Elephas maximus indicus: one gene and its partner. The protein of the gene in region 1 interacts with the protein of each later gene in a pairwise test. Links are inferred from orthologs where the notes say so. Each region holds a gene or a part of one and is shown on either strand. Other genes may lie near its edges.

Region 1 (3,748 bases):
CTCAATCGATTTACCAGAAAATAAATCATAATGGCCTCTTTTATTGAATTCTGGTCAGGCTTTACTAAAACAGATTAAGAAACTAAAACAGATTAAGAAACTACACAGGTCTAGGTCTGAAACCAATCAGGCAGGTAGAGTGAAACTTGATAAAATACACAGTAGTTCTCAAATGTTAGTTCATATAAGAAATGCTGACATTTGGTTAGAAATATAGATTGCTGGGCCCACCCCCCCCAAAATCTGATTCATTGACTGTGGAGTGGGGCTTGGGAATCTTCAATTTTAACAAATTCCCTCCGTGATTACAATGTTTATTGTCTAAGGGCCATACTTTGAAGAACACTGAATTAAAATAATGCCCATGGTCTGAAATTAAATGATAACTCTTCTCCACCAGGCCATCAAACTCAATGCCACTAGATGCTTCTCCTTCACTAGCAGTAGGGGCAACCTGTGAAAATCCAAAATTCTGATTAAAATTTCATGATTTTTTTCAAAGGTATTCTACCTCAGAGACTAAATTAATCCTCACCTGTCCATTTCAGCTAGATGATGATCAAATGTGTCAATCCCCAACATAGGTGTAGCACCTCAGAATTCTAAACAGTGAGGTAGGCAGAAGCTCCATTTTACAGATGAGGAAATGGAGGTTCACTTTCTCACTGTCACACTGCTAATATATGGCAGAACTGGTACTTAAACCTAAGTTCCTTGTATTCCTACATCACGTTGCTATATCAGTCCCCCAACACCAACAAGGGTCAAGAATCCACTGGTACAGAAACTATCTAGCTACTCATTTTGAACTAACAGAATGACAGCTTACATTTTTTTTAAGAGGTAGTAGTACAGTGTAGTAGTTAAGAGGATGGACTCAGGAGCCAACCGCCTGAGTTCAAGTCTTGGTTCCACCATGTACTAGCTAGGTAACCACGGTCAAGCTAATTTGCCTTTCTAGACCTCAATTTCCTCGCCTGTAAACTGTGGCTATTAATAGTATCTACCTCATAGGGTTATGTTAAAGATTAAACGTAAAGCACCTGAAAGCAATGCCTTGCAGACTCTAAGTGCTATGTTAAATATTTGCTCTAGGGTCGCTATGAGTCGGAATCTTCTCGACAATGAGGTTTTTTATTCTTTTTATTGATTACCTTCTATGGACCAAATACTTTACACACATTGCTTCATTTAAGCCTTCCAATAACCTAGGAGGTCAGTATTATTAGCTCCGTTTTACTTTGAGGAAATTAAGCCCAGAGAAGTTTAGTAACTTGTTCAATCCCCAAACTAGTAAGTAACACAGTAGGGATTTAAACTCAGGCCTAATTCTAATCACCCTGAGACAATGCCCCTCGACAAATCCAAGATTCTCACTTAAATACATAGAAAGGAAGGTCAGTCATCCCTTTGATAGGACCTGGGCTTCTTTCACACAACAAAGTAAAATATACTTAGTTGTTTGTTTTAATCAGTGACACATCCCCCAAAAAGAACTACATTGATTTGATGTTTCTCAATGTAGGAAATACCAGATGGCCCATTAACTTAGGGCATGGTCACAAGTGTCTGATTCAAATACTGAACAACGACCTTCACATGCCAGGAATTGTAGCTAGTGTTTAAGGTACTACCTAATTCCCTGCAATATCAACCGTAAAGAAATGACGAGAAGTAACTCGGAATGTGATCCAGAGATTTTTTTTTTTTTTTAAGTGGCTAGTTCCACCTGTCGGCTGGTGGCTGGAACTTTAGCCCTGAGCTGGGTTTTGTTTGGCTGAACAGATACAGGAGGGTCTGGTTCTCGGTCTCTCCACACCTACGGTTCCAGGTGAATGAGCAGGAAACTGAGGTGCAGGAGAAAAATCCAAAGCTGTTTTCACTGTCAGAGACTCAAGCCGGCTCGGGCTCGGCCTCCTCTTCCGGAATCCACCTCCACCTGTCGAACCAATTGCTCAGGTCTCCCTTCCGCCACTTAGTTCCTAAAGTGCCACTAACTAGGCCTCCTGGCTCAATACCTCCAGAGGTTTCCCCGAGCCAAAGCGGGCTAATTTCTGGGCTCAATGCTCATTCAATCCCACAAAACGCAAAGTAACTGATTCAGATCTCACCCTGCCTAACAGAAATAGGAAATGCCACCTCGAGCTCTCTCGGTCCAACTCAGCAGCCAGGTGGATCACCGTACTCTTGTCATTCGGGCGGGCAGCCCAGGCGACTGTTCCTCGCCCCTCGAGCACCCCCCCTGAGGCAGGTCAGCCGAGGGGCAAGCGCCGCCCTCGCGGATCACGGACCCCTAAAGCCGGAGGAGGAGACAGGGTCCCCGCATGCCCGCCCCTCCAGAGCTCCGCGGCTCCAACGACAGCCGGCTCCCGCCCCCACGGCTCAGGCTCGGTTTCTGTCCCGGAGTAGGTTCGAAGTCCCCAGAGCCTGGGCTAGGGCCGAGGCTGGGCGGGAGACGGGGAGCGCACGGGAAGAGGCCAGCCCCGGGTCCGAACGGCCTCGAGGAGCCCAGGAAAGACTGGGAGGGGCCGGGCCGTACCTGCCGAGCCAGCACCCGCCGCTCCGAGTGACGCCTCCCGCAGTGCATTGTGGGCCAGGGAGCGGCCTTTCCTCGGGGCCGCACCGCGTCCAACGTGGCTGGCGCCCGACGGAATCAAGCCCCGCCCCCGCTTCCCCGGCTCCCACAGACCAATCAGGTTCTGTGAGAAGGACACACTGACCCGCCCTCACCCGGGGCTCGCGTTAGTCCCGCCCCCTCCAGGGGAGATTGGCAGCGTCCCTCGCACCTGCGCCAGAAGAGCGCTTAGTTCTGTGACAAAACTACGTTGTCCCACAGAAATACGGCTAATTCCCCCTGCCTGCCGCCCCTGGTCTACAGGCAGTCTGTCTCTCACACACAGCCCTGCAGCAAACACTTACCCTGCCCCGTAAAAAAAGGGGGAAAGGGAAAAGCGCCCTGTGGGTGAGCGAGGAAAATGCCTGTCTCCATCTACCATCACCCGCAAGGAACCTAACCCAGAGAAGTGCCAGAGGCTTCTAGCCTTCGCATCAGCCATGCGTTATTAAGCAAATATTTACTGAGCGTTGACCATGTGCTATGCACCGTGTTACACATTGGGTTACAGGAGTGAACATAACACAACGGAACTTAAGGTGTAATAGGAACAACAAACATTAAAATATAAACTGGTACATGACTTTAAATTGTGAGCAGCTGTAAAAACGGTATGGAGGTGGTGTCTGACCTCCTTTGACTTCACAAGGTGTCTTAGTCATCTAGTTCTGCTATAACAGAAATACCACGGGTGGATGGCTTTAACAAAGAGAAATTTATTTTAGCACAGCTTTTTTTAGTAGGCTAGAAGTCCAAATTTAGGGTGTCATCTCCAGAGGAAGGCTTTCTCTCTGTCAGCTCTGGTGGAAGCTCCTTGTCATCAGTCTTCCCCTGGACTAGGAGCTGCTCTGTGTGAGGGTCCCAAAGACACACCCCACTCACAACACTGCTTTCTTGGTGGTATAAGGTCCCCGTTCTCTGCTTGCTTCCCTTTCCTTTTATCTCTTGTAAGATAAAAGGTGCTGCAGGCTACACTCCAAAGAAACTCCCTTTACGTTGAATCAAGGATGTGACCTTAGTAAGTGTGTTACAATCCCACTCTAATCCTCTTTAGCATAAAATTACAATCACAAAATGGAGGACAACCATACAATACTGGGAATCATGCCCTAACCAAATTGACACATATTTTGG
Region 2 (3,748 bases), on another chromosome or scaffold:
TGATTCCCCACAAAGACTTTTAAGTATTTGTTCAAATGTCGTCTTCTGAATGAGGCCTTCTCCACCTTTAAATTGCAACCCTACCTTCTCCCAGCACTTTCAATCCTTCTCCTGCTCTATTTTGTTTTTTTTCTTTAATACTTACAATGTTCTAAAATAATTTAATGTTTACTGTGGTGATTGTCTGTTCCCACCAGAATGTAAGCTCTATGAGAGTGGGGATCTTTGTTTGGTTCACTGTTTTGCAACCCAAACAACAAGAAAAGTCAGTAGGCACTCAATAAATAGTTGTTGAATGTTTGCTGACTGCTGGCCTCTCTCCTTAGAGCCTACAGGTGTGCCAGGACTCCTGGCAGTCAGCCTGACGTACAGATTTACAGGTCTGTCTAGGCCCTCTGCCTCTCACAAAAATATCCACCATGGCTCCTGCTGAAATACCCTCTCTGGACTTCTGTGAGGCTTCTTTGTCCTGCCTTGTCTTCCCCCAATGTCTGAAATGCGTTCATTCCTTGCATTCCTTCTTCAGAGGCACATCTGCTCTCAAGATGCCCAAACCTCTCCTTCTTTGATCTGAGGTCTTTGCTGAGCTCTGGGCTCACCTACTGTAACCATGACCTCCAACAACCCCAACCAGTCCTCACTGGACACCCAGAAGGGGCCCATCAGATCACCTCGAAGCTCCTAACTAAGATGTTGATTCAGTGACCTTTCCCTCAGGGCAGTTCCTCTTCCTGACTTCCCAAATTCAAGTTTGTCCTTGTCATGTGGGCTGGAAACCCCTAGTCATTTGACTTCTCCCTCTCCTTCCTTGGGCAGAGCACCATTAGTCATCAAGTCCTACTCAACCTGTAACTCCCCACCTCAGGAAAGTATATCTCCCACAGCTGAGCCTAGGACATATCTGGGGACTCAGCAACTGTTAAAATGGATTGGGAATCAGAAGACCTGGGTTCTTGACCTTGGGTGAACCCTTTCTCTCTCTGAGCCTCAGTTTCCTCATTTGGAAAATTATCAGGTTGGACTTGATCTCTAAGGGCCCTTTGTTTTCACTTCTGCCATCTAATGATCTATGAAACACTTGCTGGAATGTCCTAGTTCTCAGAACAAGAAACCTACCTGGGTTTTTCTCATCCTCATGTTGACTGAGTTATAATTATCATCAGCTTCCTCCTTCTGGGGCTCTATTGCTGTGGGAAGACACCAGGGTAAGGGCAGGGGTTGACCTGTGGCTTCTGAAGACTGAGGATGAGGACACAGAGCGAGGGCCAACCCCCAGCCACACAACAGGAAGGTGTTTGCATCCACAGACTTTTTAAGGGAAATACAATTTAGCGTAAAATGATTAATTCTAAGCCTCTAAGAGTAGAAAGTGTATTTTTGGTTTACAATGCATCAGTCAATTCCCACAGGTATGCAGAGGTCTCCTAATAAAACCCCCATCTGCTTGCACAAAGAATGCACACTGGGCAGGAGGAATTGTAGGAGTCAATGGTTTCATTGTAAATAAAAGTACAGGAAAAAATCAGGCGTTTGCTGTGGAAAGTGTGCTGGACTGGACACTGGAAGACCAAGGTTTTAGAGGCCTACTGTGTGACCTGGATATACCACCAGCCTCTCTGGGCCACACATTCCACACTCCCCAGATGTACCAGCAGGTAGGTAGGATCAGAAGAAAGGATATATCTGAAGTTCTAGGAGCTCACCCTTCAGCTGTGTGCGGATTTCCCTCCCCAGCTGTTTGATCTCCTCGCGCAGGTTCTGCAGGTCCTGCTTCATGCCTGAACAAGAGATGACCATAACTCCCAAAACAACAGTTCCTACCTCAACCAACCACCCCGGCCACCACCTGCATGGAACTACAACCCCCACAACCCCTAGGACTGAGCATGCGCTCTGCACCCGGGGTTTCACTCACTGTCCTCGGGAAGGGGCGTGGCCAGGATGGTAACCTGCTGCTTCTCCAACTCCCGGACTTTATTCTCCAGCTCGACAATAGTTTGCCGAATTGTCCTGACCTGGGGAGGGTGACAGCGAAAGCTAAAGGAGACACGGGGTACTCCAGGCCGCACTGCTCTTCATTTTCTCCAGCCCCGTCCCCTCGCAAATCTAGGCCAAGACCGCAGCCCCTTACCTGCTGGAAGAACTCATCGTCCGGGTCCCCCAGCCAGGCCGTGCCCGGGTGCATCATAAGCGCGACCCGCTCCTTGTCTTCATCGTCCGAGCTGTCATCTCCCTGCCAGAGCCGGGGTCATTGGCACTACTTTCTTGCTACTGCTCTCGCCCCACGGAACCGACGGGCTTCCGGGTCTTTCCTTCCCTGCCATCAGCCACCCTTCCCTGCCCCGAGGACCAGAAGTCCCGCATTCCAGCCAAATCCACCCCGTTTGTCCGCTCCCAACCCTGCTGCACCGACTCCTCACCTGCCTCAGCTCGTGGGTCCTGTCCCGCATGACGGCCCGAGCTCCCTCTCCCCCGCGCCTGAGCCCCGAGGGCCTCAAGGATCTAAGTTTGGAACTCCCTTCCCCACTCACACTCTGACGCTCCCCTCCCTCACCCTGCGGACCCCAACACCTCCACGAGCCGCCAGAGGCTCTGTCCCTTGCACGGTCCACAGCCAATGGGAAGGAGCCAGCCTCGGATACCCCCCCGATTCCACAGGTTGGTATTCCCTCTTCTTCCCCCCCTACCAGCTCCCGTAGCCTCAGCCCCGCCCCCGCTGGGAAGATTCGGGGCATGCGCACAAGGACGCGTCTCTCCCTTGCCCCAGGGAGAGGAGGAAGTCGGAAGCTGTGGCGCCCCGAACGGAAGCAAAACTTCAAGGATGTGAGAACCCGGTCCCTTTACGGGAACAGTCTCATCTTCCAACGGAAATCTAGTTGCCAAAAGGGGTGGGAATGCGTCATTTGGACGTCATATGAGAGGCCCCTCGTCTCACATCACCCCATGGTGGCCCCCTGCGTCATGTGACCGGCCCCATCTCAGCCCCGCGGACCGCAGAACTTGATGTTTTCAGTGTCACGTGTACCGGCTCTATGAACTCCTTTTCTGGGACACCCTCCTCCCCACGATGTCCCCGGCTCTCCCGCGACCGAGCTACACCCCTACAGCCCCCAAGAGTTGGGGGGCGACGCTGAGTACCACCAGAGAGGCCTTTTGAGGCAGTGGGTGGTAGGACCCTTGCTGAATTTCTCTTATTTCTTTTGGGTTCAGGGGCGTGGGCAGAGGCTGACTTAGAGTTTGGAGCTGTCAGTATCATGGGACCTTGAAAGTCAGAGAATAATAAGATCTGAGTTTTTAGCGTTAGAGAATTGCAGGGCTTTGTAGGCAGAGAATCTGGGGGTGGAAAGTGACCTCACCCAAAGCAGAATCTTCTCTCCCGCATACTCCTGGCACAGCCTCTGACAGGTGGGCGGTCAGCCGCCCTGCTTGAACACTGCAGTCCCGCTGCACTCATCACCTTCCAAGCAGCAAGGCCATTTCGGGGCAGCTCAGGCTGAGGAAAGTGTCTGCGTTATATCGAACCGTTCCCTTCCCTGCCACTTACACCCCCACCCCCGCCTTCCACCTGGTTCTACTCTGGAGTCCACAGGAAAATGCCCACATTCAACATTACAGTGGACTGTGAGTTCTTGAGGCCGGGGGGAGGGAGGGGGCATGACTGGCTTGTCCTTAACTGAATCCCCATAGTCTGGTTCAGTACCCAGAACAGAATGGGCCCTCAATAAATATTTGTTGACAGAATTTTAGC

Evidence for each region.
Region 2: the proteins of SEC22A (region 1) and STX4 interact in binary tests that used the Homo sapiens proteins (3 or more experiments, as listed by UniProt). The two-hybrid records come from large-scale screens. The link is inferred for Elephas maximus indicus from reciprocal best matches to the Homo sapiens genes SEC22A and STX4.

The regions. Positions count from the first base shown.
Region 1 is NC_064819.1:14,018,968-14,022,715, reverse strand, and holds the start of SEC22A (vesicle-trafficking protein SEC22a), read right to left. Parts: upstream 2,609-3,748; 5' UTR 2,540-2,608; exon of another isoform or gene 2,112-2,539; intron 1-2,111. UniProt on the Homo sapiens protein: May be involved in vesicle transport between the ER and the Golgi complex.
Region 2 is NC_064830.1:90,287,261-90,291,008, reverse strand, and holds the start of STX4 (syntaxin-4), read right to left. Parts: upstream 2,691-3,748; 5' UTR 2,451-2,690; coding exon 2,421-2,450; intron 2,234-2,420; coding exon 2,132-2,233; intron 2,016-2,131; coding exon 1,916-2,015; intron 1,779-1,915; coding exon 1,704-1,778; intron 1,188-1,703; coding exon 1,117-1,187; intron 1-1,116. UniProt on the Homo sapiens protein: Plasma membrane t-SNARE that mediates docking of transport vesicles. Necessary for the translocation of SLC2A4 from intracellular vesicles to the plasma membrane.